4 linked regions of the Struthio camelus genome follow. The protein of the gene in region 3 interacts with the protein of the main gene of each other region in a biochemical or structural test. Links are inferred from orthologs where the notes say so. Each region holds a gene or a part of one and is shown on either strand. Other genes may lie near its edges.

Region 1 (7,831 bases), on a different chromosome or scaffold from region 3:
TCTCGATTGTTCAGTAAATTTTTTTGAAAAATTATCAAGCAGAACTTAAAGAGCAGCATATAAATTTCAGCAGAACTACAACATCTTGACTGATGCAGCAAAGCTGGCCTCAGTGAACAAATGCTACTGTTCTGACCAGCGTATGGCCAGAAAAGCAAAACGGGTGATACCAGTTTAAGATTGGGATCTTTTCTGCATCATTCTTCCATCATGCAGAATACACGCTCTGAAAACATTAACCACCAGAAATCTGAAAATAATTCCCTCGTCAACATAATTTGCTACCCAGTTTTACCGTGCTTATTGAATGGTTAAATTAACTATCAGCCAGTACTTACAACGACTGCTACAAAGGGTTCTTGAAACTGCTGATTAAGCATCTGAGTACTGACATCGATCCCAGAGAGCCAGCAGCCATAGCCAGGGTGACTGTGATACCAGCCAATGGCATTTTCTAGACGGCCAACCTAACAGGAGTGAAGGAAAAGAAATCCATAGTGTGAAATGCTTCCATCCTGTAAGTAACAGCTGCCCTCTATTGGGCCTCCCAGCAAAATACAACATGGCAAGAGGATAAAAAAGAATACATAAATAGCCTAAGTATTAAATGCACAACTTAGGCTGCAAAATTATTTTCTACAAACCATGTAATCTGTATTAGCATTCTGTGTTATAGCTACTACCACAAAACAAAGAAAACCAACTCCAAGGAGCCAGTAACTCTTTTTCTAATGATAACTGAAGTACAGAACAGATCCCTCATGGTGAGATGAGAGGCAAGCTGAGACTCTTCATCATGGAAAAAAAATTTCATTGGGAGGACGTGACACAAGTATAAAAATCTCATATCTCATAGCGTATGTCAGTAGAGAATGAAAGTTTATTATTTACCACAGTAACACACCTCAGAGGCATACTGCGAGCTCATTCGTAGTTTTAAAAATAATAAATTGAAAAATACATACTTCCAAACACCAATACGACAGCATTCATTGCAAAACAATGGTATGAAGGCCAAACGTTAGATTTGATAGATTTGGGGGGACTGGAAAAATTATCAGCATAAGTTTCCAAATAATGCCGTGGCTACATCTACAAATTCTAGAAGCAAAAAACCAAACCAAAACCAAAACCAAAAAAACCCCCACAGAATGAAATCCTGCTGCACCTTTTTATTCTGTTCCTCGTTCAAAAATCTCTTACTGACTGCTGAATACTGGGTCAAATGAACTTTTGACATGACCTCATGTATCTATTTTAAAAAAAAATCTTTAAACATATCAACCTCTGAAATACGTTTACTCTTTGCTTACATTACGATCCAATCTAACTCACACTTATTTTAAAATCTTTAATTGTATATAAAGTACGAACAGAAGTACAACACTCTAAAATAACCCAAATACTATCCTCTTGTCTTCAGAGAACAGGGAAGACACCTCTAATTTTTACAGAGTTAGAATACTTTGGAATTAAAGAAAAACCAAATGGTGAACCGGGTCTACAACTATTTGGACAGTTAGAATAATTTATGGGATTCACAGTTAGCTTATTCATAGGACAGGAATGCCTAGCACTATCAGGAGGAAATCCCATGTGCCATGCTGGTTTCTAGACCAGCCACAGAGCAGATTCCCATTTCTGTTACTCTTCTGCATGTGAGAATTTTACTGCATGCTCAGGCTTAACATGACTTCAGTCTTTGAGAACACGGTGAGAAAGAGCAGACAGGCACTTCGCAGTAATTAATCTTATCAGAGTCAGTCTATTCAACATTTCTTAATTATAAACCTGGATAATTAATTGCCACTGACACTTTATTTATTCATTGGTATTTTTCTTCATAGACCCGTTCTCTTTTTTATTATGGAAGACAGCAGAGTGACTGTGTAGGAAGACTTTAGAAAGCAAGCAAGTATGAAAAAATATCATTCCCCTGTTCTACAAGTAATAAGTAGCTGTGATACGTAAACAATTTATATTTAATTTTGTATACTGCTTTTAGAAATCACTATTATATCAGTTATTTTAGAAGCATGCTCCCTCCTTATTCCATTCGCAAGCCACCAGCTGCAAGCTGCAGCCATACAAACACTTCCTGAGTGATGAAAATCAAGATGAAGGAAAACATACTCAAGTACCCGACAGCCTATTCTAAGATGGGAAAATAAACGTGAAAATGAAAAAGCTATATCAGAAAGTTTGCATCGGATAGTTTTCTGATCCCTGTTTTGAGCAGAAACACTGTAACTGGGCAGCCACTTTATCACATGAGGCAGCAGAAGGGCCTCCAAAACTCAGATGCGCAGAATACATTACCCGAATAGCTTACGACAGGATCTGTGACGACCTCACAGGGGACACAATACCCCGCACCACTTCTTTTTACCTGCTTTGCGTTCTCGATGTAGGCAGCCATGTACTCGTAGGCAGCCGCCTGGGCATTGACGCGGGTCTCCGTGCCCTCCACGGGCAGGGCGAAGCTGTCCATGATGATCATGGTTTCCCCGTCCACCTTGCCCAGCATGAGCCCCATCACCTCCAGGTTGCCGCCCGACCTGGCGTGCATCACCATCTTGAGCAGTGCCAGTGCCGAGATCTTGCAGTACTTGAAGTAATGGTGGCTGCAAGAGAGAGGCCGCAGAGGCGCTCAGGGCCGTACTGGGGCCGGGACCGACCCCCGCCTCGCCCCGGGCCCCGGGCCCTCGCCGCCCGCCCCACGGCCCAGCCCGGCCCGGCCCGGCCCCGCTCTCACTCTTTGGTCCAGGGCTTGGCCGCCAGGATCTCCTGCTGCTGCTTGCGGTCGTATTTGTAGATCTCGTCGATGCTCTGCGCCTCCTGCATGTTGTTGGCCAGCTCCCACGTCTTCTGCGCCATCCCGCTGCCGGAACCGCCGCCGCCGCCACCTCCGCTGCCCCCCGCCGCCGCCGCCATGGCCCCGCGCCGACCCGGCCCCCGCCGCGACCAACCGACGCGGGGGGAGGCGGCCGAGGCAGGTGGTACGGTCCGCGCAGGCCCGGCCCGGCCCGGCCCGGCGCCCCTCGGCAGCGACCGCCCTCCGGAGCGACAGGGGGCGCTGCAGGGCGCCGCCCGCCCGTTTCCGGGGAGGCGGTAACGCGCGCGGGACGCGCAGGCAGCTGCAGCCGTCGGAGCCGGTGAGCGGGGTGGCGGCGGGGACAGCGCCCAGTCTGCGGGCTCGGCGGCGGGGCGGGGGCGCACCCGCCCGCGCCTCGCACCCCGCGGCGGCCGGCCCCACTCCGCTCCTCCCCCCCTCCGCCCCCGCGGACGGGGCAGCTCGCTGGGGAGTGGGGCCGGCCCGCGGGGCGCCGAGCGGGGGGGGGCGCGAGAGGCGGCGGCGGTGGGGCCGGGTGTGCCGGTGAGGGCAGGTTGGGGGGGGGCGGCGGGGTCGTGGGCCCCGCGCGCGCGCGGCAGCAGCAGCAGCCGTTTGTTGTGCGGCCGTTGCCTGACAACGGCGCCCGCTGCTTAAAGGGGCCGAGCTCGCCCGCCGCCCCGCCCTACCCCGCCTCGCGCGGCAGCGGCCCCGGCGTGGGCCGCGGCGTGGGCCCCGGGGCGGCCGCCGCGGCGAGGCCGGCTGGGGGGAGGTGGGCCGGCGTTTCCCCTGGCTGCCGAGGTTGAAGTGATACGTCCGGCTTCCTGGCCCTGAAGGTTTTCTGCGGTTAATTTCTTCCCGGACCAGCGTACGGGTTCGAGGAAGGACGGCTAAACCTGTGGAGGGAGGGGGACAACCCTCCGTGTTCCTTTCGGTACTGAATTGCTTTCGCTGTTCCTGACAAGCCGCGTTGGTTTTAGTCCGAATTTATTAATTGCAAGCGACCAGGCGCTGGCTGGATTTTTTAAATATTTTTGTCAGATAAGAATTGAAAAGAAATGGAGGGAGAAGGTGCAGGCAGCGTGTTTCTGATGGCAGGAGGTTCTTCTGAGTGTCAGTCAAGGGGCTAGAGAAGCAGCCAGTACTGACGGTCCTGAAAATTTAGCAAGTACGGCTGAAACTTTGAAAAATAGTTCTTAATGAAACAATTGTGTGGCCATATAATCTCTAAGTACAATAACTAAGCATGGCGTAAAATTGCTTTTTAAAGCATCTCCCTGCCCCACGACCCTTGCTGCAGTGCTATGGACTTGGTGGGAATTGTCATCTTGCCAATTTTCCTGAGAACTGTTTTAGTATTAGCAGTAGAATAGAACAGGCAAAATGTGCCCGCTTACATGTGCTGAATTTAAATTTTGTGCCTCCCCCCCTTTTTTGATAAATAAGGGGAGAAGGGAGGGAGTAGAAAGCAGTACAGTAGACATATCTTTACGTGATAAAGTAGATAATGCAAGACACAAGAAGATACAATACATACAATACAATGGATGGACAAATAGATATTTTGAATATCTTGGGTACGGAGACATCCATTATTAACAACTGTGCTTAGGCACAGATCCTATAAAAAAAAAAAATCTCATGTTCAAACTTGACTTTGTAAGTGTCTGTATGTTTTCTGTTCGGTGGTGTATTTGACTAAAGTGAAGTTTACCTACCTGACTTTTGCTTTTATGAACGTTTCCTGTTTCAAAACAAAAAAAGCTTATGGAAAAAATGATAAAAAGTTAATCTGTTTAAAAGTAAAAATGTTATAAAATATTCTTTTTATGGGGCATATTTGGACAGTAATTGAAAAACTAGCAGAATTCTGTTTAATGTAATTTCCCTTTGTATAATACAGTGTTTTTGGAATGTTATGCAAATACATACAAGATTTAAAGATTTAAAAGTTTATTAATATATGCTATCAAAAATAAGGTTTTTAATCACATTTAGAAAATATTCTATGAGTTGGAAGGAAGAACAGTGCGCAATGTGCATTCAGACACATTGCTAGTCTGCTAAGCTAAACGGACTATTTTGAATTAAAGTAGTTTTTCAATGGCAAACTTTACTTTGGTAAGTTTGCATAGTGTTAGGAAGCTAGTTTTAAATTAATGGTTCACTGCGAATTCAGTGCTGTAAGCTCCAACTTAGCAACTGGGAACTGTGGTAGCTCCTTTTTTGGATAGAAATGTATTGTTTATGTATATATGTTGTGGTTAGTCATGGTCTCTTCACTTGCTATGGTAGATCACAAAATTGATTTATTAATATTCAGTGAGATATTTGCTTATATGCTGAAATTTTTTTGAAATGCCTCACCTTCAAGTGGTCAGTGCTTTGCTTATAGTACATAAGAAAAATGTTTGTCCCCCCCCCCCTTGCCTTTCAGTATAACATACTATTTTCAGTTATCTCATAAAGTTTGCACTTATGCATATTCTAAGAAGATCTCTCTGAGGGAAAGGACATAAGACATAACATGTATAGCTGTTTCCTCAAAGGCATTTGGCCACATTTCCTTGCCGTTTGGCTGTATTAAAAGTATGCTGAATCAACAGTGCTGCAGTGTTGGTCAGCTGAGTTTATGCTCCCAGGCCTGGAGTTGTGAATTTTCTTGGTAATCAGTTGAATGTCTGTAGTTTGGCTGTAACTTAATCAGTGGTTTGTCTTTGTTTTTAAATTTATTACGTTGCTCTTTTGAGCAGTATAGTAAAAATGAAGAATAATAGAATGCTCACTTTGTTCCTCATTCTAGGTAGAAAATGCACTACGAATGTCTGTTCCTTTCCTTACACAGCCTTTCAAAATACCATTCCGATACACTCAATTGAAAATAGTTCTAGTGTTCATAAATATTAGCTTAAGTGAAGATCAGAACTTTGGATGTTTCAGTCAAACTTTTGGGGAGGCTTCTCACAGTGCTTCCCTGTATTAATTTTCCTCGTGGTGGGTATGCTGCAGTAGATAGTTGATGAGTACAACTTGTTGTTTAGTATAACAAGTTGTTATATCCATTCATTATCCTTATATAACTTAGTAGCCTAAACAGAATTTATCAGTGCCTAGAAACTTATGCTCTTTTAGATTTCATTTATCCTTTAACTTTATCACTGTGCAAAACTAATGAGATTAAAGATTTAGGACAAATCAGATGGGGGAATTTATTTTTGGAATTGATTGTCCTGTATTACCACTAGGACTTGTAAAGGAGTTGTCCTAGTTCTACCTCCTTTGTAGGAATATTAATGTTATTCTTTGATTAGTAATATAAAATTATGAAGTTTAATACATCAAACAAAATTTAAAGTACATGTATTCCTTAAGTTCAAGTCTTTGCTGTCACATGACGTTGCATGTTGACTTCGTTTATCTGTTGCAGTACTGACGTTTTATCTCATCGTTATATCTCTTCATCTGCCTTTTCCTAGTAAGTATTTAGTTCATTCTCTCTGGACATGTTATGTCATGTTTTTGCTGTTTAGTATCTTATTCTGCTGTATGTTTGTTTGTTTGTATTGTGTCCCCTGTGAGGTCGTCACAGATCCTGTCGTAAGCTATTCGGGTAATGTATTCTGCGCATCTGAGTTTTGGAGGCCCTTCTGCTGCCTCATGTGTGTGTTTGTTCTTAATTCTTTGGTCCTTTTTCTGAAAGTGTCAAATATGCTGTCATCGCTGGCTTGCTCTTTACTTTGTACAACCGATAGGCTTTGGAAAGATACTGAATTGGTATTGCTTAAGACCTGTATAAGCAATCCTGTTGCTTAAATTGTGTGGTTAGTAGTAGAGGGATTTGAAGGTTGTAATTTTCTTCTCAGTTTCATGCTTCCTGTTAAGTGTGAACTATAACATATGGACTTCTTATCTGTAGGCTTAGTTTTGCAAAACTCTGGTGGAATCGGTGAAGAAGCTGAGGCAAGGAGGAGATTAGGAGTAGGCTTGTATGTAGTCAATTTTTTTTTCTTTTTTTTCCATACTTTACTTCTTCAGTATGCAGTTGTGCAATATTTTTAGTTTTGATGAGATTATCTTACCAAAGAATGTTCTGAAGTCTAAATGTTTGGCCAGGCTTCTGTATGGTTCCATTATTATGAATTAGATTCACTTTAACTTTTGTTATGAGGTTATCTAGAAACAGCAGTGTACAGTAAATTGGACAAATGATGCTAAAAAAAGTTTCTGCTCTGAAGAACTTTCAGTTAAATAGGCAAGATATACAACTAATGGAAAAGGGATTTGATCAACGGTTCCTGTAGTATGTTTTATTACAGATAAATGGCTCGGCTGATTATAAGCCAGTGCTGCCTAATGTCCACAAAGTTATGATTCTTGGAGAATTATAGCTGTTCTTATTGCCTCTGCAAATTTACTGGTAGAAAAGGTAACGACATGCTTTTGGCTCCAACTCTGGAAAACACGATGCATGTGTGTTACGATTTTCTTTTTTAAATAGGCTTGATCATTTTAAAGATTTCTTGTAATAGAAAATATAACTACCTAAATGGCTGTTTGATTGGGTCCTTACTTCAGAGTACATGTTTATTTTGCAGTTTTGTTGCCTAATCATTACTTTATTGTTGCTATTTATCTTTTCTGTTGTTTATCTTTGATTTTATAATTCACTAGCAATAGGCTTTTGTTAATATGTAGTGAAGGGCAGTTGGTAGACTTCCAAAGCATTATTAAGTTTTTAAGAAAACTTTTAGCTAAGTTAGAAGAAAGATTAGAGAAATATCAGGATTTACCGTAAGGAGTTTCTGATTTTCCTCTCAGGAGAAACTTCAGGTACTGTCCTCAGGGCATGTATTTCTTGAGGTGGGCTTTCCTGTAACCCAGCAAGGATCATTTTTGAGGGAGATGTGTGAGCATGACTTGACTACTGTCTTAAGCAACTGTAATTGAGCTTAAAGTTTCTGCTGCTGTGACGTAGATGCAATGTTTTCTCTTTTCTGTAAT
Region 2 (7,545 bases), on a different chromosome or scaffold from region 3:
GGTGCAAAGTATGCAAGTCACAAAGCATGCTCTGTCTCATGTGTGGGAGTAAATGTCATATCCCACTGCACAGGATATTTATAGCACAGCACTATCTGGGAAGTGAAACTTTTCAATGGTGAAGTTTTCACAGCCAGTTGCTTCAGGTTTGAGTTCTGAAGAATGAAACAGCTGAGAACCCTATTTTAGAGATTCTGACTCTTCAGTTGGCTCTGAATGATACAAACAAAACTGGCAGGGTCTGAATCCACGTACCCCGTGTTTAAAAGCTTGAGTTTCTTCCACCCATATCAAAAGGCTGTTCACTTGAATCCTGCAGCTGACCTATCAATCTTGTGACCCACAGGAGCACAGAACACAGTATGGCTTTGTCATATCTAACCCACACTACCTGGTGAAGGAGCCCTTCCCATGCATTATAGGTACACCACAGTTCCAAAAAGGGCAGGCTTAGGCATAAACATTCAACTCCTGGGGGACACCATTCTTCTGGCAATCTGGCTCATCACACACCCCCCAGCCCCCCAGGTTACTCTGCACAGCTGGTCCCATGTAACTACCCATGTCCAAGCACTCAAATTCAACACAGATCAAAGTAGGTAACCCTTCTTTCAACAAAGAACCCTGAACTAAGAACAGCTACCCTGGGAAAGCTAACTGTAACCTGACATGCAAGGCAGTGACTCTCGTACCTCCTGCGCTGTGAACTCAGCAGTGCCCAAAGCAAGGGCTAGACCTAAACTTCTAGAGAAGGGATTAGGATGGGAGAGCATAGACTATAGCAGCATAAAGCTGGGGGTAGTGGTGTGAACAGCTGATGGAATTCTGACCACTTTACTCCCCTATCTCTCTCTCTCTCATATACATATATATTTTTTAAAGGGGGTGGTCATCTGCCACAGAGGCAGAAGCTGGGCTGGAGGAATAACATTAGAGAAAGGAGACAAGATTGTATGAGCTGTCTAAGTCCCATCTCTAGATCTTGACTGAACTTTACATTGTCAAAGGCTTGCCCTGGTTCAAATCCTTATACAACTCACTATTTGGAACATGTTGCTCCTGACTCATAATATGTAATAAGCCCAAAACTTGGAATGCAAGATCAAAAATTCTAAAATAAAAGCTTTTTTGATCAGTGGTCTCAGTAGATCACCATAACCAGGCCAGGAAGAAACAAAAAGGCCTTTTGTGAAACTATGCTCTTGGAGCTTTAACTATAATCACTGCACATGTTCTGAGAAGTAAGTTCTTGACATTAATGGGTCGTCCAAAGGGCGGGCTATGCCTATTTTGTACCAATTATTAACACAGCTATTAGTATTAACCCTCTAAATCTAGTTACCGATACACCCTGTGATGTTTACACAAATAGGAACACAGATGTGTTTGCATTCGCTCCATTTGTACTCACCCTGATAACTTCTGGCGGGTTTTATAGCTACAACAGAAACCTGAGCTTGGTTGTACTTGTCCATCTAATTACAAAGTAAGGACAGAGCAGAGGTCACAGCCAGCACCTGTCTCCCAGACTTGCCTTCACCAGCTCGGTTGTTTCTGCCTCAGTGGGGTGGATATGTTGCATTTTCATCCTACTCCAAATACACTTTCCTGCTGGAGAGGTGTCAGAAGTGCTCTGGCAGATCAGTACATGTAGGTGTTATTTCCAATTAGACTAACAGGACTCTTTACATCTTTGAGCTGTTACCATATGTAATAAATGCCACTTGCTTAGTGGAGCAGACATTATTACATTATTTACACTTTGTTTGTGCTTTCAAGAGTTTTTACAGCGCCAAGAGTGACAAACTTCTCTACCAGTAAGTTGATTGAGACCATTGATTCATTTCACATAACTTAACCACAAAAGCAAAACAGAATATTCCGGATTTCAGTATTGAAGTTGGGCTTGTAACAAGTTCCACATGTGTTTCTCAAACTCCTCAATCCTGTGTGCTTCCTTTCTGCCTTCAGATAAGAATTATAGAATATAACTTGCATGGAAAGCGTGGCTTGTTCAGAAATCTCAAAATGAGTATTAAGATCCATTATGTTTTGTCAAAAGCCCTGTTTGATGTTCTTTCCACTAGAAGTGGCACTAGAAGTGTCAAATGTATTAGCTAGGGTCATAAGTACCTCTATATGCAACTCTGGCAAAAAACAATCTGACCAAGGAGCCTCAGAAGTTTAAAAACAAAACTTCTCTCAAAAATATTTCAACTTTAAAACTTTTTTTTTTTAAACAAGGCGACGGTTTTCAAATGTTCTTTTATCTAGACTAGTAGACATCCCACATGCTTTAAGAGATATCAAGAAAAGTTGGAAAAAGATGTGACTGGTTATTAGTCCTACTCTTCCCTCACCTGAGGTTTTCCTACTGCTTCCGTAGTGAGAACAAAGATTTTGTTTTGGTTTGTTTTTTTTTTTTTTTTTAAATACACACTCAGGGAACCTTAGAGATTGTGCAGCTCAAATTCTTGTGACCGTAGCATGCGTTGCCTAAGCGTACGAACACATAAAAACACTACCCCATACCTTAGCTCAATCTCCTCCTACTTTCCACTGAGAGCAGACCACAGTTCAGTTCCTCCAGGATGACGGACCAAAAAACATCTGCAACTATTGGCTACCTCCTTGAGAAAATCCACCTGATCAATACTTTTGAAAATGATTAAAATGGAAATAACAAATAATTTGAGTAATCTATGAAATAACATCTTGACTATAACATAACATGTGTGATGCTGACCTACTGCAACAGACTCATTATACTTCTGGCTTTGCACTGTAAGTGGGTGACATTGAATTATTTTCAACACTGCATAGTTCTAATATCTTTCTAGAGAACCCTAAATATTGAAAGGGTCTTCCCAAACTATGTAGAAATAGAGTCTGAGCAAAAGAAGTATCTGTATTAAGCCAGCATATACTTAAGGTGAGGGAATTGGAATCCTGCTACTGCAAGTTTCAAAATCACTCAGAGCATCATCACCGTGGTTATCATACAAAGCCTGTCTGCCACAACTGTGAGTCATCTTTCTGCAATGTGCACAGCATATTAAATGTCACAAAAAGAGCCCAAACCTAGGGGCACTAAACAAGCATACCAAAGTCCAATTTCCTCCTTTCTTGAGAGCTCTGAAATTATCTTATTTTCCATTCGCCTCATTCCCTGATGCAAGGAATGGAAATTACCCCAAAAGACTCTTAACTCTTATGTCACAACAAAGAATAATGCTAAAATAGGAGTCTGGAAAGTAAACTTTCACTTAATAGGAAGAAACAGAGACTGACTCAGGAAAAACTCTCAAGGTTATCACTAACTCACACTATTCAAAAAAAAATCTCCACAACAGCACTACAATTCCTCCAATCACCTCCATTGTGACTGAGGATGAAGGCTAACCATCCTCTTCTCTTCCATGGCCTTGACACAGCTGTCATATCCCTTCTTCCTTTCTCTTGGGTGTTTAACTATAAGGAGAGGAAAAAAAAAAAAAAAAAGACATCCCATAAAGTCTCGGCATAGAGAATGAAGAAAAGTTAATAGGTTACATATAAGTAAGTGTTGAGAAGGTCACAGTTTCTTAAGCCACAAGTAACTGGACAGTTTAAATCTACTAAACCTCAAAAAACTCAGCTTATTGACTCCCTGCTACCATAGCAACTCTGATTTTCCCAAAGTTATACTTTTCTCTAATACCTGTATAGACAAATTCCTCTAAGTTTTTGAGGGGAAAAAAAAAGTTACAGCCCTTCAGTTTTATGCCAGCATCCTTACTCAGATGTGGCAACAACGGAGAAGCTGCTGCGGACAAGCATGGCACCAGCCACACTACAAACCCAGGGGCCTGGATGGAGCACCGCCACCCCGCGCCGTTTTGGGTGGTTTGCAACCCCCTCTCCCGAGGCGGCGGGGAGCGGCGAGCAGAGGCGAGGCGCTCGGGAGGCGGCCAGGGCGCTGCCCGGCTCGGCGTGGGCGGGCAGAGCGGCCCCGGGCGGGAAACCGAGCAGTTAACGGGAGGCACAACCACGAGGAGAAAGCGCTCCCCCAGCGAGCCAGCCGCCGCCCCCAGCAGCACGGAGCCGGGCCCGCGGCGGAACAGGGAGGCCGCCAGGGCTCGCGCTACCTGAGAAGACCCAGGACCGGGGAGGGGCGCGCGGCCGCCGCCGTTTAACGGTCACTCGGCGCGTGCGCACTCCCCCCGCTCTCCCCCCACCCCCGGCCCCCGGCCCGCGCCTGCGCACTGGGCACCTTCCGCAGGCGCCGCGACGGCACGGCACTGCACCCCGAGGAAGCGACGGGGCGGGGAGCACTTTGCAGGAAGCCCTGCCCACTTCTGGGAAACTGGAGCCGCCCCCGGCCGCTCGCCGCCAGCCCCCTGCCCCACTGGGGCGGGGCGGCACCCGGCGGCGGCCGGCGCCGGTTGGACGCGCGCGGGCGGCGGGGCGCGGCGTGGCGCGGCGCGCGGGCGGCGGGGCGAGGCCACGCGGTCCGAGCGGCGCCTATTGGCTGAGCGGCGCTGGGGGCGGGGCCGCCGGCGGCCAGCGCCTGTCAGTGTGCGGGGCGCCGCTGAGGGAGCCTGAGTGGCAGCGCCGCGCCGCGCCGCGCCGCGCCGAGCCTCCCGCGCGCACCGGAGCGGTAGGTGCGGCTGCGCGCCGGGCCCGCCCGCCTCGGGGGGAGGGGAGCCGCGCCGCGCCGCGCCGCGCCTCCGCCGGGCGGCGGCGGGGCCGGGGCCGGGGCGGTGCTCGGGCCGTTCACCGGCGAGCCCGGCTGTCAGGCGGCGGCCTCGCCGCGGCGCGCCGCTCCTGAGGCCCGCGGGCGCCCGTCTGTGGCCGTTCCTGGTGCGCGAGGAGCCGCGGGCGGGGCCGAGCCGCGCCGCGCCGGGCAGCCCGGAGGCGGCGAGCGGCGGCCGGGCCGGGCGGCGCCCGCTTCCTGGAGCGGCCGTTGAGGCCGCCGGAGCCCTGCGGAGCCGTCCCCGAAATTCCTGGCTGCCCCACCCCAAGGTAGCTTGGATTCGCTGAGCGGCTGCTTTCTTCTCCGCCTGCGCTGCTGGCGTCTCCAGAGAACACCGGGCCGCTCGCTTGCTTTCTCTTCTTTTTCTGAGCTGCGATGTTATTTTTCTGCTCGAAAGCAAACTTTCCTTTTTGGCTCTGGAGTTAACTGATTTCCTGCCTGCTGTGTCTGTCTTGGAGCGCTCGACTAGATAAGAAATTAAGTTGCCACCTTTGCTGTTTTGATTGGATGTTGCTAGGTGCAGTTTTACCAAGCTATTCCTGACCATGGAGAGGGGAGGGTGAGGCAGGCTTGAGATCAGTTAATCAAAATATACAACTGAATAAGATCTGAAGTTCAGTTAAACTGTCTGTTTACTCACCTCTCATATCTAGCCATAGGACTTCTCTTTGACACAACTTTTTTTTCTGGCAAAAGGTTAAAATACTTCTCTGCTGATTAATAAGTCACTGCTGTGGTTGATCTCAAATGCTTCCTGTCTACTTAATCAGTTACATTAGAAACATGTGTTCAGGGCTTTGCACATGTAAGAAGCGGCAATCTGAAACTAGCATCCATAAACAACTTTTAAACTTCTTTTTAAACTGTCTTTCTGAACTCTTTTATGAGTAATAAGTCGCACCTTCTTAGCTATAACAATAGTGATGAGAGTAATTGAATCAGGCTTTCAAATATGTGTCTGTCGGGGGTGCTTTATTGCGTTTTAACTAAGTTAAAATCTATTATTGGCACAGCCACTAGATTCCATTGGAATGAGTCATTTGCTATTAACTATTAAATTTTAACTGTTATGAGAGACTGAGTCTTTGAATAGTATGCTGTGAAGAAGGACTATAACAAGTGAGCATGTAACAAACAAAAATAAAAAAGGGTTTGTGGGACCTGATCCAACATCACTGGCGTTAACGAGCTTTGAAAGAAGAATTGGGATAAAGAGTAGCAGTGTTAAATATGAGAAGTTAGAGCAGAGCTTTTGTAAGAGTGATATGGTCACTAATTATTGCTCTGAAGGAGAGGAGGCAAACGTGACTGTTGTCTCTTTAGCCTTTCTCCTGCAACTTTTGAGCTCATTGGCAAATGTCAGTCAGATTTGCTGGCGGAGACAAAAGGAGAAAGGTCTGGACAACAGAAAATTTTCCAACTTCCAAGAAGAGCAGCTGGCTCTGAGTGGAAGAGACCTGGATTAGGGAAGGGTCTGGAGATGCTGTGGAAGAGAGATCAAGAGGATGCACTGGGGGACCAAAAGGAGGGGTAAGAGGCCTAGGCATGGGAGACTTAAATCTATAGGAAATTGAGCTTTGCTAACCACATTTTAGTAGCATTAACTTGCTAGGCCCTGAAAAATACAGAACGCAGCTCGTCTAAAAGACGGGTCTTAGATGCTGCAATTAAAATGGGAGTTTCTCTCATGGAGTATTGCTCAGAATGGACAAAGAAACTTGTCAGTTTTCTTCACGTTTCTAGTATAAAATTGTAATAATTGAGCTCACAAGATAGAGGATGAATTAAGCTTATGTAGAAAAGCTCCTATTCATACTAAAAGTAACAGAAATTCCCTTTTTGCCTAGCGTTTCAACATCACTGCTTTCTTGTAGCCTTACATGGCTTTTTTGTAAATGTGAGTTGAAAATCTCAAGCCACACAGCAATGTTCAGTAATAACTGGTGAAAGCTTGGTCCTGTTTACCTGGGCAGAATTAATTTTAATGCATGTTTGTGGTTAATGTCAGAAGTTGTCCATTTAAGTGCTTATATACCATCTTGCTCTAATTGAGGAAATAGCTTCACTCCACAAATGGGTCTTAAAAATCAGGATGTTTTTAAGCTGTGTTCTGAAAGCTTATATGTAAACAGCTAAGTCAGATTTGAAAACAAAACTTTGTCAGACTTAAGTTTGTTCATACTAATACTTTCTGTAATACTTGTTCGCAGAGCAGTTTGGAAAAATTAACTGGTTTGAATGAATTGGGATGCAGTGATGTTTATAAACTTTGGGTAAATGGTGTTATTCATATCCTCATTCAACAACATGAAAAGAGTTGTTAAGGGGTGAGTTGTACCCAAGTTAATCTTGAGGAAATTAAGATAGATGTGTTTAGACACTTTTGAAAATTCTACTATTGATTAAACTCAATCAAATACTTTCCTACGGAGTTTGTAATCAAACTACTGCAATATATTAATGTCTGGCAACTAAAAAGATAGTTGAAGCTTATTATCCTGATGTTTATAGTATGCAACATAAATGGCTGAAACTGGGTTTTGAAATATTTCCTGTCAAACCACTTTAAAGAATATATTTACATATTTATTATCGTTTATAACAAAGCTTACTCATGAACATAATACTGATAGTGAAATCCTTCAGACTGATCCCAGAGTTCTGGGGTGGTTTAGGTAGAAGCAACTGATCATCTTCAGGTAAACCTTTATGTGACAGTATTTGACAGTACACGAGAGACCTAGAGGAACCAGACAAAACTGTATAGGTGCCCCTCGTAGAGACACATAGATAACACTGTTAAACCAAGA
Region 3 (7,776 bases):
CAACAAAATCCACCTCTAAATAAACAAACCAGTCCAGCAGGGAAATTCACTCTGCTTTTTGCCTGTATTTTTTCTGTTTTAGACTGAGATCAATAAGCAAGGAATGTACTACAGATCTTGCTGAGACAACTACGCTCAGAAGTATAGTACCATGCTCACACCGCCCACACATATGCGCAAGCATCCCCCCGTATACACTTTACCAATTCTTGTGTAACAGCAAAATATTCCCTGGAGTGAATGGAGCTTTAGCAGCAGAACTGTGTAGTGAGACTATCCTCGTCCTCTTCTCCATGCCCTTCCATAACTTGGACCCATGGTTTTCTTTTCAATTTCTTTCATTTTCCCCCTAAAAGACACAGGTATATAGACAGACTTGTAAAAATGAAACATGGCCCTATTTTGCTCAGGCAACGGAGCTGAACTATGCTGACAAAATACTTTTTTGGCTATGCCAGCCTTAAAGGTTTTCATCTTACCACCTGACAAAACTCTTCCAGTGCGAACTCAGTGTGAGCTGGCAACAGCTTGGCAGCAGGATGCACTGACTGGAGTTATGCCAACTGTCGCTGGGGTGATTTGTTCCAGTTCTGTCATATACAAATTAAACAGAAGATTCGTAGTTTTTAGTTATTAGTCTCCAGTATGTACTTGAGGATGTTGAATTAATCATTGATCTCTTTACCTTCCCTAAATTACTACTCCTATCTAGTGTAATACACTGCTAACTGCTATAGGGACAGATTTGTCCACATGTTCAGTTTAAATGCAGGTGTACGTTTTCAAGTGGTTTTCTTGTTTGTCTCTTTTTGTTGTTTTAATAGAATTTCTTGATACAGTGGTTCATTCACTTGCCTTCTTTCAGATAACTTATTTCCTCATGTTCTGGCACTTTTTTTTTCTTTAGTAGTCCCTGCCTTTTTCTTGTTCATCTAGTAATTAATTTCTAATAAACGTAATCTCTAGTAAGTGTCATGGAAAAGGAGGCTTTACTGATGCGGGATAGCTAGGCTGTGGGATGCTCTCAGAATGTTGTCAGAGAGCACAGGTAAGCTTCACAGCATGGTAAGTGTTTGCAGTGAGTGAGTAACTGATATATATTGTTTCATTCCAGTGCTATCTTGCCCTGGCCAAGGGTGGCTTACTACCTGATCACGTCCTGATTTTGCCTATTGGGCACTATCAGTCCGTAGTTGACCTGTCTTCAGAGGTGGTGGAAGAAGTGACCAAGTACAAATCTGTCTTAAAGGAATTTTTCAGAAGCAAGGGAAAGAGATATGTCTTATTTGAAAGAAACTATAGGAGTCAGCATCTGCAGTTACAGGTATGATTTGAGTACAATAGCAGAAGAGCGCAACCTGAGCTTACATGCCAGTATGTTGAAAGAGACGGCTCACTCTCAAACTTCCCTCTTTCCTCTGTGCCTTCACAGAGTATGGATAGAAATCATCTTACCCAAGGATAGAGGCAGAACAAAAACAAAGCCTGGGTGCTTATTCTGCCGCAGTCCTTGTTTTTCCTGTTACAGCAGGCACAGGGTTGATTTGTGTAGAGTGAGTGAGATACAACTGTTTTTCCCCTCATGACCCTGATTAAAAAGCTCACAATGTGTACAGATGAGTTGGAAGACTTTGCTCGTACTCTTATCCGCTCATACTGGCACATGAACTGTGGTACTCATGCTGTAACTGAAGTAGGCTGAAAATCTAGAAATACACCTGCAGAGCTCTGGTATTGGTAGACAATGAATAACCTTTTGATTTGATTGTTTCCTGTATGTTAATCACTTGGTGGTTTATTGTGGTGGTTTCTGTATCTGGCAGATCTGTAACTGTATCAGAGCGGCCTTAAACTACCACAAAGATCAGAAAGGAGGGTGACCGTTCTGAGAACTCTTTCAGGCTATTAGTTTTCAGTTTTCTGTTCAACTCCTACAGAAAAATCTCTCATAAGTTTAAGCCTGTATAGATAGGTGCTCACCTGTCTTATATGATGATGACGAGCAGTACTGAGGAGCATACCAGCTCCAGTGATGGATTTATTGCTTTCTGAGAGTAAATGGTTTGTCTTTTCTCGTTATGAAAATGTTGTCCATGCTCTCCAGGTGATTCCTGTCCCGTTGGACCTCTGTACTTCTGAAGACATTAAAGAGTCCTTTATTGTACAGGCACAGGAACAACAGATTGAATTGTTAGAGATCCCAGAGCACTCAGATATCAAGCAAGTATGAGACAAGATTTCACCTGTCGTTTACCTCACCTCAATCCTTTCTAAGCTGGTATTTCACTCTGGGGTCGCTTTGCATGGTAAGACTAAGCTGTTGGAGGTAGACTGCCATAGACTTGAGTTGCAGATATGCCCGAGGTTTTCACTTCTGGATGAAGTCACAGTGAATGACAGATGATTTGCTTCTTTGCAAATTAAGGCCTTTATCTGCCTACAGCAGTTATACACCTTAGGCTCTCCAAGATGATCAATACTTGCTTTTCATATGAATGAAGCCTATGCTGCTAGGTGCACTAGATAGCACTGCTATCCTGGTGCGATTTACGAAGATGTCCTTTAGTTTTCTCGGAGCAGCTGAGTGTTTACTCGAGGAGAAACTCCAAATATAGGTTAGGCAGAAAGGTAAGGCAGAAATCTGACTTTGAGGACAGGAATGTAAAAGATAACCCTTGCCCTGCTACCCCAGCTCTGTGCACAGGTTGCTGCACTCACTGCTAGTGATACCAAAGCAGCCCTTTCTGTGTCAGTGCAAAGCAGGTAGCTTTAAATTCCCTTGGATCAGGATTTGGAAGAAATATTCCTGTTGTACCAGAGAAATTAGTCTAGTGATATAGGCTTCTCTGTAACCAATAATCACAGGGAGACCATATCTGCAGCAGGACCCAGAAACAGCACATATTTATGCTAGTTACTTTCTAAGCTATTACAAGTATTTATATCTGTGTCAGAAAACTTAGGGTTTTTTTTTTTAGCTGAGAAGTGTAAATTTACTCTCATGTGATTTTTTTTATCTACAATATGCTGTATTAGCTTGGGATGACTTAGCTAGGCAATTATGATCACTCTTACTAGAGGTGTCATTCTGCAGAATTAGTCCACAAAAATGTAGCATTGTGCTCATGGTGCTCCATATGCAAGTGTACAAACTGATCCCGGCTGAAAGCAATCCATCGCTTCACATCTGTCATGAGCTATGTTTTGAGATCTACCATTGACCCAGTTTGTTCCTGTTTGTGTGTTCTAATCTGACTTTCAATTTGCTTTGCAAAGGAAACTAAAACACAGCTAGGGTCCTCCTTGTTAGGAAGCATCAGCTCTTTGACAGAGTGGGGCCGACTTCTAGGACATGGCTACTCACAAGAAATACTTAGGAGAGGGCCTTTTTTGGTGTTTCATTGATGAAAAGGCTTTGGAGTGAACTCAGCCAGGACTGGACAACCCACAGGGTAAAGCCCTGGGGGGTTTTTTGGTGCATAGGCACATTTAAACTTCAGGATCTGCATGGTCTCGGGTCAGTCTTGGCAGAAGAATCCACAGGAAGCTTGGGTTTCCCTAACTCTAATATTCAGTTGAATCACGGTTCAAGTATAATCATCCAAGTGTAGTCATCGACATCTGTTACAGTGTCCAAAAAATGCACTTTTCTTGCTGTAGTTCAAAGCCAGTCTCTTATGAAACCCTGTCATTTTTAAATAACAGAACTAGGGTAGTTATTCTGCTCCGCTGTTGGGTTAGAACCCATTTGAAATACCAAGATGAATTTAACATTACTTGGAAGACTGGCGTGAAAATAGTCAGTGTTGCCCTGCCACTGTTAAAAGCTGCCCTTGCTCCCCTGAGGCAATAAGGGGCCTGACAGCTGGCAGTTCCCTGCTGCTTGGAGGTCAGCAGGGACCCTTTTTCTGGGCTCCATCTTTCAGCAAGGTTTCATCTTCTTTTTTTTTTTTTTTCCCCCCTTTCTTTCTTCCCCCACCTAGGTAGCCCAGCCGGGGACACCCTATTTCTACGTGGAGCTGGACACGGGCGAGAAGCTTTTCCACCGCATCCGGAAAAGCTTTCCGCTGCAGTTTGGCAGGTTTGGGGGTTTGGTGTTTTTTGCCCTTTTCTCTCCTCCCTCATGCTGTGGTGAAGCAGAGTGGCGCATGGGGTGCGGCAGCTCTCATGCCACAGGGCCTGTTGGGTGGGTGGGGGTGCTGTGATGTCACGCCGGGGGGGTGCTGTGATGTCACACCGGGCAGGGGAGGGGTGTGGGGGTGCTGTGACGTCACGCTGGGTGGGGGAGGAGTGTGGAGGGGGTGCTGTGACATCACGCTGGGCGGAGGGGGGCCTGTGGGGGCACTGTGATGTTGGGCCGGGCAGAGGGGGGCCTGGGAGGGGTGCTGTGACGTCACACCGGGCAGGGGAGGGGTGTGGGGCCGCCGTGGCCTCACGCCAGGCCGGGGGAGGGTGTGGGGGGCGCCGTGACGTCACGCCGGGCGGCTGACGCGGCTGTGCTTGCAGGGAGGTGCTGGCGAGCGCGGCCCTGCTGGGGTTGCCCCACCGCGCCGACTGGCGGCAGTGCACGGCGGCGCGACCCGAGGAGGCGGCCGCCGCCCAGGCCTTCCGCCGCGACTTCCAGCCCTTCGACTTCGGCCTGCAGCACTGACGGCGGCGGCGGACGTGCGGCGATGGGCGGCGCGGCGTGACGCACGCGCGCGCGCGCGCGCGCTCTTCTGTGACGCGGCAATAAAGGCGGTGTGGCGCGGGGCGCTGAGTGGCTGCGGCGCGGTCCGGGGGGCGGCGGAGGCGGCATGGAGCGGGCGCCCGGCGGCGCGGCGCTGCGGGGGCAGCCGGCGGGCGGCTGCGGCCCCTGGGAGATGCGGGACCGCCTGGGCACCGGCGGCTTCGGCAACGTCTGCCTCTACCAGCACCAGGTGGGCGCCGGGCCGGGGGAGCGGGGCGGTGCGCGCTGCGCCGGGCCCTCTGACGGCGCTGTGTCCCGCAGGACTCGGGCGCCAAGGTGGCGATCAAGTCGTGCCGACTGGAGCTCAGCGTCAAGAACAAGGACCGCTGGTGCCACGAGATCGACATCATGAAGAAGTGAGTGCGGCCGGGCCCGGCCCCGCCGCTGGAGCGGGGCGCCGCCCAAGCCTCGGCTGCCTCTGCCCCGGGGGCTGCCAGCGCGCTCGCTCCCGCCGCCCCTTCTGCCCCTAACGCGCAGCCCGGCATGCGGGGACCAGCCAGACCCCCTGGGTCTGATTCAGCTGCTGTGTGGGGTGGGGGTCTAGTGACAGCTGGACCCCCCTGTACTTGCATTTGACCAGTGCATGGGTTGGGGTCTAGTGACAGCCAGACCCTGTTGAGTGGAGTGGGGGGTCTAGTGACAGCCAGCCCCCTGGCCTCCCTTACCGTTGGTACGTGTCATGGGAGTCTAGCGAAAGCCGGACCCCAGCGCCCGCGTTTCTCTGGTATGTGTGATGGGGGTCTGGTGACAGCCAGACTCCTGGGCTGACATGGGGCTAGTGTTTCGCATGGGGGGGTCTAGTGACAGCCAGACCATTGTGGTCACATTCAGCCAGTATGTGGGAGGGGGATCTAGTAACAGCCAGCCCCCTGTGGTCACGTATGGCCTGTGTGTGATATGGGGGTCTGCAGTGACAGGCAGCCCCTCCGGGCTCGCATGTGGCTGGTGTGTGGGACAAGGGTTCTAGAGATAGCCAGCCTTCCCACCCTGGGCTTGTATACGGCCAGTATGTGGAATAGGGGTTTAAGTGAGAGTCAGAGCGCTTGCACACGTGTGGCCAGTGTGTGGGGTGGGGGTCTAGTGACAGCCGGACCCACTGGGTTCATGCACAGCCGATGTGTGGAGCTGGAGTCTAGTGACAGCCAGGTCCCCTGGGCTCCTATGTGACCAGCGTTTAGGGCTGGGATCTAGTGACATTCAAACCCCTCTGCACTGGTGTACCAGCTGGTGTGTCAGGCTGTGATCTGCCGATGTTCTGAGCCCTTCTGCTCTCATGTACCATCTAGCGTGTTGGATTGGGACCTAGTGATAACCATCCCCCCTGCACTTATGTGTTGGTCCATCTGTTTGCTCAGGACATAGTGACGTCCAGACACCTGTGTGCTTCTATACTGGCCCGTGCATCGGGCTGTGATCTGGCAATTAGGGATCTGGGAATAACCGTTTTCTGTGACGTTCTCATTCTTACTGAGTAACGTCTCCCAGCTCTTTTTAAGAAGAGGTTACTCACCCTGGGCAACCCGCAGTCCCTCTCCAGCATGTCACTCTGAGATACCTGTGAAACAGAGCAGGTGAAATTCATCCTCATGGACAGAGTTGCTCAATTATTTCTCTGGGTGTCAGGGATCTCGTGGAGCTGTTTCCTCATCATGGGAACTGCTTCCTCTCGAGGGAGATCCTGTAGCATGACATGTACAGTCCTGCTGGCAGGAGCAAGGACACCCTTCCAGAGTTTTATTTTGAGTAGTTCTCCAACAACTCAAAACCCTTTGCTGTACCCATGCTGCATGGAGCTTTACTGAGGTCATACTGTCCCTTGTCACGCTGATCTGCTTACATACATGCTGCTTTCACATTATGTTATCAATAGTGGAGGAAACCACTTGCAGGTATCGTGTTAGAGCTGAGTTTGCAATTCAGTATTGGGTGATCACTGTTTCTATCAACGTTTTCACTGCAAAACTATATTCATAGTCTGAATATAGGCACTGAATTGTACCTCTACAGCGTCTTTTGTGGTAACTCCCAGAGACTTTGGACTTTGTATGTTGGAGTAATTTATCTTCTTTCTAGATGTGTGTTTTATTCCTGAGAATAGCATATTTTGAGACAGTGAGGAAAAGCTGTTTGAATGTAGTTACCCAAATGATTTCTTCCCAGCGTACATTTATTTTACGTGCGTGGTTCTACTTCTATAGAACAATTACACAAGTGTTAACATATTCCTGTAAAACTTCTGGACTAAAGGGAAACTGCTTCTACATGCAGAAATAGAAACACATATGAAATGACTGTGCCAAGAATGTGCAGAAATCCAGAACTTGAGCTTGGATCTCCATCATCCAAGTCCTGTATCTTGACTTGGAGACCATGTTCTGCTCATCACTGGTTTGTGTATTCACAAGGTATGGATCTGATGCATTTCGGTACTGGGCAGCAGTAAGTTTGGGGAGATCTTACCTGAAACATAAAGCACGGTTGGTTGGCAGTCTTGCTCTCCCAAAAGAGGGGTCAAACTTTTCATCAGGCTCTCCGTGTGCCTAGGTTGAACCATCCCAATGTAGTAAGAGCCTGTGAAGTTCCCGAGGAGATGAACTTTCTTGTTAATGACGTTCCTCTTCTGGCAATGGAATATTGTTCAGGAGGTGACCTCCGGAAGGTAAGTTCTGCTTTGCTTTGACACACGTAGGAAAACGAGTGGAGTTAATGCTCTTTTCCTAACTGATTGTCTGTGAAACCACGTATATTGCAGGTGGAGGGAGGTAGACGTGTAGTAAAAAACGTAAGTGTGAAGTGAGGCTTGTGCTATGAGACCAGGTGATAGAGGGGATAATCCAAGGGCAGATATTACTTTATCCTGAAGTAGTGTCTCCTTTCATAGGACCGCATCAGCATTAATGCCGTTTCCTGTAGCCTCGATGTTAGCACCCACCATGACTGAATTTGCTGCTGCGTGCCTGTATCTGTTTGAAGTCTGATCTGTTTTTAATTCACGGGTGTCCAGTGTTGTGTTGTTTTCAGCTACAAGGAAGGATCTTGATTCTCTT
Region 4 (7,551 bases), on a different chromosome or scaffold from region 3:
TGGCTGACCTAAGGGCACAATTAATGACAACTGTAATTACGATGTTATCAATGTAGAACTTTTAAAAAGGCTACACAGCTAATTTAATGGACATAAAATTACAACTTCCATTTCTAAGATACCTGGGTCAGAGCTGACAGTGACCAAGATCAGAATTCCTCCTATCCATTACCTAACCCCAAACATTTTCTCCTCTTGTTTCATACCTATGTTATTTTGTCACTGAGGACCAAAGAAAAACTACCAATATGTAGAAAAAAAAGTTTCAAAGAAGCTAAATTTAGACTTTACTTTAGTTGCTTAAGGAAATAAATATGTTTTTCTCTCTTAAGACAAACACTTCTGAATCTAGAGCTGGCAAACATTTTCAGCACCGAAAGGTGGGAACATTTCAGCGGGTAAATTTTGAAGTGATCTATGAAAACATAGAACAACGAAACAGTATCTCTAAAGACTGCAGAATTTTCTGATCAATAGCTACAACAGCCTACCCTAAGTTAGTAAAAAATACATTGTTTTTCACTGTATCTTTGCAACTTCTATACAACATTTAGTATGGGTGTGTGTAACTACAGAGGCAGTCTGCACCACCGAATCTTAAACACCCCCGGCAGTACGGAGCATCCTTCATAGCGAAGACTCAAGCGTCTTCACACTGGGTTCCTCTGCTTCCAGGGTCACCAGTGCTGATGGGCAGGGTAACACAAATTTCCTAACTGCACTTATTTCTGGACCTTGCATGTCTCCATGTGACAGTTGCTTGGGGAGGTGTTGGGAAAAGGCAGTGCTGGAAAGCAGGAACTTTGCTTCTCATGAAAATTCAGAAATTTATTAATTACCAAATTCAAGTCAATAGCTGGTTGTAGGTATCCGTTACTGAATGTTATGAAATCACATAACAACATCTCACTGAAAAAAGCAAATTACATTATTTTTAAAAGATTAAGTACATAATAACATTGAAAACTAATTAAAATAATTGTTAACTTTCAATAAACAAAGCAAGAAATTTTTATACCTTACATATGAACGAAATATTGCTGTCTGTTTTCTACCCTCTCACCCCCTACCAAGGTGAGAACAAGGTATTGCTCTCTCCTAGCACACTTTTTTTTCCAGGAAACTTTTCTGATTTCAAATGTATACCAAAAAAACTCCATCTAGATGCTAATTTAACTACGCATCTCTATCAAGTATGAAGTTTATCTGCTACAGTATTATTTTTTAAAACACACAACTTGACACAAAATGAAACAAAGCCATTCTCAGTTTCATAATCTTAACTCTATCCAAAACGTACTCATTACTCACAAGAGAAACCAGTTTGATTTGTGATAACTACTGTTAAATGGACACTTCTTTCTTGAAAAAGGGGACAAAGGGTGGAAAGGAAAAGGCTTTCTTTTTCCATCGACTGGTTAATACTTCAGTTTAAGTTGTTATTTAACAAGTCTTGCGCATATCTCAGCACTGAGTTTCCTTGAAATTTCCAGGTATACCCTCTGGGGCAGATCCTGACAATAAAAATTCAGCATAAATGTCACTTAAATTACTGAGCCAGGAAAGCTTAGAGAAGCTGAGAATCTACAGGCTCATTTTTCCTCTTTCATTTTCTCAAATGTAGTCCTAACTGTACTGCTCAACTAAACTGTAGTACAAAACACTGCAGATAACTAAGACGTCATTCTAATTCTTTCATAGAATGGGCAGCTGCATTCTCTCTTGAAAATATAAAAATCTGTCTTTAAACCAGAAATATATTCTGACTAGCATATTATTCCAATAGTTCTAGAATATCAACAAAACCCAGACCTACATTTTCAACCGAGTTGTGCGAGCTTGACAGTGGCAGTTTAAGGCTGCCTAAGGTGGTGTAGCACCTGACTCTAGTGAAGTATAAGGTGATGTAGGGTATAAGGCGATTCAGCAGAGAATACATTCACTTAATATTGACTTAATGTTATTGTTAAAAAGAATAAATGAAAGGAGGACTTTGAAGCATAGAATTAAACATGCCTAACACATTATGCGCTTTAAAAATATGTGTTACTTTTCAAATGTAAAGATTAGAGCAAAGATTAGAGTATTTTTAACATAGAGTATTAGAGTATTAGAGTTTTTTATTAGATTAGAGTATTTTTAACCCTTAGCAAAGATTAGAGTATTTTTAACAGGAAGCTGAAATGCAGCACTGAAGTTGTGATGACCTCTAGCCTTAATCCTGCAAATGCTTACAGGCACTTATATTTTCACTCCTTTGAATGGAAGTACATACCAGTATACCGTATTAAAACGGCAGCCAAATAACACATAGCTCATCTATACTGAAGTTCAGAAATAACACTCTATTTTGTGTTCACATGGAAGAAGTCAATAGAGCTTCTTAATTGAAGAAATCAAAGCAGAAAGCGCCAACAAGTAAAAATAATGGTGAGGATGAACGGTTGAATCTCCTCGTTTTTAAGGCCACATGTAACAAAAACAACCATTCAGATCATACTTTTATATCATTGGGAGAACATTTCAGTTTCATTACTTACTAGTGCAATTTTAAAAAAATCCACCAGTACACCACATCCGAAAGCAGCTTTTTTTTTTTTTTTAAATATTCTTTGCGACATTCACTTGAAAGACCTTCTGCAATCCCCACCCAGGATCAGGACACCAAGGTGCCACCGGCAAAACCGTCTGCATGCTAACTTTTCCCCCCTTAAGGCCAGACAATGACCGTACAACCACAGATGCTCCAAACTGTTTCTCAGGTCAAGCCCGAACGCCACCTCTGAAACCAAACGCGCAACAACCAGCATACCCTTTGACAGCAAGCACCCCGCTCCCCCGTCAGCAGAAACGCCTCTCCAACTTTTTGCGTTTATTTGACAGCAGTTCACAGACATCTCTTCCAGGTTAGGACGTCCCCTTACAACAAACATCAGCAGAAAAGCCCACTGTAGCTGCGCTTTAAGAGTTATTAAACAGAAGAGTCCCGACGCGGTCCGTACGCGAACACGGAAGGCGTTGTTTAAATCCACAGCAAAAGAGAAAGCACAGTGGCAAGCAATCGCCCTGCCCAGAAGCTCCGCACCGGGAAGCGGAGGCCGCTCGTGTCGCCGTGCCCCGGACGGCGCCCGCGGGCAGGAGCCGCCTGCGCTTCCCTCTGCCGTGCTCCACGTCAGGCGGCAGCCGCGCCCGGCGGCACGGACGAGCCGCGGCGCCCGTCGCAGGTCCCCGAGCCCGCCAGGCTCTGCCCTGCGGCGCCCCCCGCCCGGCCCGGCGTCACCTCGCCACCGACTCCGCGCAGGAACGAGGAAGCGCCGGCAAAAAGGCGAACGGGCGCCAAGGAAGGGCAGGAAAGAGAGAGAGAGCAGCAAGCGACGGGCCAGGGGCTGCTGAGGGCTCACCCGGGGCAGGGCTGGAGCCGTCTCGTCGCGGTCGTCGTCGCCGTCGCCGCCGTCGTCGTCGTCTCCCGCTGGCGGGGCCCGGCCGCGCGTCCCTCAGCGCCGCGCCATGTAACCGGCGTGACGCCGTCGGCGCCGCCCGCGCCCTGGCTCCGCACGGACTTCCCCCTCCGCCGGCCCGCTGGCGAGGGCAGCTGAGCGGCACCGGCCTGCGGGGCCGCCGCCGCCTGCGCAGCCGCCGCCGCCGCCTCCACCTCCGCGGCCACCCGCCTGCCCCTGCCCCCCGGCCCGCCGCACTTCCTGACTGGAAATTCCCGCTGACGCTCCGAGAGCGCAACGGCCGCGCGGGCGGGGCGGGGCGGCAGGCAGGCAGGCAGGCAGGGAAGGGAGGGAGGGAGGCAGGGAGGGAGCGGGCAGCCGTTGGGGGCGCAGCCGTTGGGGGGGGGCAGGGAGGGAGCGGGCAGCCGTTAGGGGGCGCAGCCGTTAGGGGGCGCAGCCGTTAGGGGGGGGCAGGGAGGGAGCGGGCAGCCGTTAGGGGGCGCAGCCGTTGGGGGGGCAGGGAGGGAGCGGGCAGCCGTTAGGGGGCGCAGCCGTTGGGGGGGGCAGGGAGGGAGCGGGCAGCCGTTAGGGGGTGCAGCCGTTGAGGGGGGCAGGGAGGGAGCGGGCAGCCGTTAGGGGGCGCAGCCGTTGGGGGGGCAGGGAGGGAGCGGGCAGCCGTTAGGGGGTGCAGCCGTTGAGGGGGGCAGGGAGGGAGCGGGCAGCCGTTACGGGGAGCTGCTGTTGGAGAGGGGACAGGTAGAGAGGGCAGCTGTTGGGAGGGACTGGGAGAGAGCAGGGAGCCATTGAGGGGCAACTGTTGGGGGGGGCAGGGAGGGAGTGAGGGGGGGCACTGTCAAGGGGGAGCTGTTGGGGTGCAAGGAGAGAGCAGGCAACTGTTGAGGGGGAGCACTTGGAGGGATGAAGGAGCACCTGTACAGCACTGAACACTGCCAGCCTTCTTTGGAGGGGCTCTGTCTGTGGCTTCTCCCACCTCACTATGCTGGAAAAGCGCAGGAGGAAAAGCCTACCCTGGGCAAGGGAGGAGACAGCACGGAAGCAGGCAGGGCAGCGCAGAGCTGAGGAAGCGTCTGCCACCCACCCCTAGCTGGCAAAATCCCTCTCCCAGCTCCCAGGGCTCTCAGAACTGCTCTTGATCGGACAGGCCCTCAGCCTGAAGGAAGTTGTGTGACTACATGAGCCTTTTTGGCCTGGAGGAATTACCGCCACCACAAGAATAACCCTGTCCATGTTGAGTGACCCACGGGGATGCTGTCAAGACTTCTGTGGAGTCAGGCCTAACCAGGTGGCTGTAAATGTTTTTTTGTTTGTTGACCCCCAAAAAGTTTCTAAGGGAAGAGGGAATACACGTAGAGTGAATTTAAACCTACTAACATAATGCCTTTCTGTTACTTTCCTTTCATGGATCCTTTGTAAATGGAGGTTTATTCACTGCCCACCACCAAACATCTGAAAACAGTGCTGAGCAGGGGGTGCAGGCTACATGCCACCGTTGTTTGGTTTTTTTTTTTTTTTTTAGCTCCTGGCAGAGCAGACTTCCAGGTTAGTGGAACTTCTGTTAAATAGCACCAACCATCAATCATATACTGATTTTTTTAGTATCAAAATCTAGTGCCTTAGTACTGTAAGCAAATCTGTCAGGTAGATCTAAGGCTGAAGGGTGTACTGTCATTCAGCTGAGCGATCCTAACTGACCAGTACCATGTTTGGCCAGTCACAAATGTCGGATGAAATATTTGAATTTATTGAATTTCTTCTGAGGCTTAAACCTCCAGTTTGCTAAGAGTGAGGAGCATCTCAGCTTAGCAGCCAGTATAGCTCACCTGATGTGTGTTAGGCCAGGAATTCAACCATGCAACAGGGGAGTGCTGGTGGATGACTTTTGTTGTGCTAAGACTCTGCAAGGTAGCATATCTTCACCAAAGGATTATTCCTCTGAGAGATGAATGAGACTAGCAAAAATCGTAACTGAAAAGAAGGATAAAACAAATAACTTAATTAAATGGTGAGACTCATTTCTCTTATATTGAAGCAACAAACTCACATCCAAGGCAAAACTGAGGCCAAAATAAACAAGGTCAAATGATAAACAATCTGGGATAAAATCTGGTATATACAATAATATAATTATTAATAATTAATATTATTAATAATAATTAATTAATAATATAACCTGGGATAAACAATCACTGGGACAAAGAGACAGGGTTATTTTTTTTTACCAGACATGTCATAAAAGAAGACTATGCTGCTGAACACATCTAATCTATCAACATGGTAGCTGATTTCATCCCTGGAGAGGGAATAGATTCAGATGTTATACTTTGTGCCAAGATCTGAGTTGGAATAGAGATGTTATTTAAGATTAGTGCTGAGACTGTGAAAGGCAGCTTGGAAACACAAAGGATTTTCTCCATCTCTTAATAAGAGAACTGAAATCTCATACAGGGGATATATTCATATGTATGGTGAGAGTCATTTCCTTTATTTGGATTGTCACATCACTCTGTGATGCAGTTCTAGAAATGGATTCCCCCATTCTCTCCCCAACCCATTTTTTCATGACTCAGCATTTCTGAGTAAAATATGTTTTTCCTTATTAAAAAAAGCTACTTCTTGCACTCTCAGGACCCAATGTTCAGCTCTTCTGTGGAAGCAAGTACACTGAAGTGAGAGTGAAGAGAGAACTGGGTCCCAAAGCCCTGTGAGAAGGAAATTTAAATAGACTTTAAATATGTAAAGTGTTTCAAAATGAGATTCATTTGAAAGAAAAGGTGCCATGTCACAGCTAGTCACAGGTATGCTCACAGGCAAGACCTGTATGAACAAGTACCGGAAAATCAAACAAGGTGGAAAAGTTCCAAAACTGAAGGAGACTTAACTGGTGGATTTATTTTAAAAGGACACATTGTTGACTACTTCAGGGCTCAGCTTTCCTAGTAAAAGCCTAAGCAGCTTCCACAATGATCTAGCTTTTTTTTTTTTTTCTTCTCTCCTTTTGGTTCCCTTCTCAGGTAAATTCAAAACATAACTTTGTCTTTCTTATAACTCACCACTGTAACAGAAGCGTTACTTCCACTGAAACCCACAACAGCATCAAGCTGTAAGTCCATAATGGTAGAATTACCTTCTCAGAACACCCTGGATACATGAATTGCTTTAAAGCATGGAAACACTCACCTGAAAAGTCAAAAGATATTCTCCCCCCCCCCAGACCTGTTTACAGCCAGTAGGTAAACTAGGCAGACTATATGGACTCAGGTGCCAGCAGTTTGCTGTGATTCCTGCAGAACACAGGGCTGCGCTATTACCATCAAGATACTTTAATACCTGAACAAGATCAGCTCACAGATGAAGTGCATGTGCTTAAAGCTCCACCTGAGCAAGTAAACACTTATGTTGCTGAGCTGAGGGAGACATTGTGAAATTTTTCTAGCTGTGTCCCAGTCTCTCTTACTGGGAAGCTGTATCAGAGGTAAGGCTTCCTAGTTGCATACTTAGCTAAGCTGTTATATCTGAGTCTCACCATAGTGAAGTTATGTATGTTTAAGCTTTTTGAAATGTCATAGAGGTTAGGAGCTGCCTCTGGTTTTGCATTCACTAGGTTTCCTCTGGTAGTATAGATCCCTTCCTAAGGTGAGAAATGATAGGCACCAAAACTTTTTTTAGCCTTATAATTAATATTGCTTCTCCTCAGCAACAAAGTTTTGTTTCTGAGAATTAAACTATTCCTCCAACAATATGTGAAAACAGACAGACATGCAAGATTTGCAGAGATTTCTAAAATAATTGCTCTTCACTTTAAGTGGTTTGCACAAATGTAGAAAATAATACTGAAATATTTGTCAAAGCTTCCTGCTTTATTTTCTGTCAGTTTCTGAGATAAGTACTGGAAATGGGTCAGGATCTTTTCATTCTCTTTGGCATCATACATTTGGTACTGAAACAGAAAGAAAGGAGGAAAAATTCAAAATAGCAGGTGAGAGGCACTTCCTTTGAAATCTTTCCGCTCCTGTCAGATGAATTCTTTATTGGCCTATTAAGCCATGCTATCCAAACCCCTTCCTGGTTAACCCATTATTTCTTTATAACTCAA

Evidence for each region.
Region 1: of the proteins of CHUK (region 3) and COPS5, one has a biochemical effect on the other in vitro, tested with the Homo sapiens proteins (2 studies listed by BioGRID). The link is inferred for Struthio camelus from reciprocal best matches to the Homo sapiens genes CHUK and COPS5.
Region 2: of the proteins of CHUK (region 3) and MAP3K14, one has a biochemical effect on the other in vitro, tested with the Homo sapiens proteins (5 studies listed by BioGRID and IntAct, with this or other methods). The link is inferred for Struthio camelus from reciprocal best matches to the Homo sapiens genes CHUK and MAP3K14.
Region 4: of the proteins of CHUK (region 3) and NFKB1, one has a biochemical effect on the other in vitro, tested with the Homo sapiens proteins (3 studies listed by BioGRID and IntAct). The link is inferred for Struthio camelus from reciprocal best matches to the Homo sapiens genes CHUK and NFKB1.

Annotation. Positions count from the first base shown.
Region 1 is NC_090943.1:132,232,889-132,240,719, reverse strand, and holds the start of COPS5 (COP9 signalosome complex subunit 5), read right to left. Parts: upstream 3,008-7,831; 5' UTR 2,935-3,007; coding exon 2,756-2,934; intron 2,625-2,755; coding exon 2,390-2,624; intron 468-2,389; coding exon 339-467; intron 1-338. UniProt on the Homo sapiens protein: Probable protease subunit of the COP9 signalosome complex (CSN), a complex involved in various cellular and developmental processes.
Region 2 is NC_090966.1:522,454-529,998, forward strand, and holds the start of MAP3K14 (mitogen-activated protein kinase kinase kinase 14), read left to right. Parts: upstream 1-4,530; 5' UTR 4,531-4,639; exon of another isoform or gene 4,640-4,643; intron 4,644-4,868; exon of another isoform or gene 4,869-5,004; intron 5,005-7,545.
Region 3 is NC_090948.1:43,888,093-43,895,868, reverse strand, and holds the start of CHUK (inhibitor of nuclear factor kappa-B kinase subunit alpha), read left to right. Parts: upstream 1-4,762; 5' UTR 4,763-4,796; coding exon 4,797-4,919; intron 4,920-4,990; coding exon 4,991-5,085; intron 5,086-7,273; coding exon 7,274-7,388; intron 7,389-7,776. Other genes in the region: CWF19L1 (CWF19-like protein 1), read left to right, coding at 1,115-1,324, 2,105-2,224, 3,984-4,081, 4,507-4,651.
Region 4 is NC_090945.1:27,039,495-27,047,045, forward strand, and holds the start of NFKB1 (nuclear factor NF-kappa-B p105 subunit), read right to left. Parts: upstream 3,010-7,551; 5' UTR 2,934-3,009; coding exon 2,813-2,933; intron 1-2,812.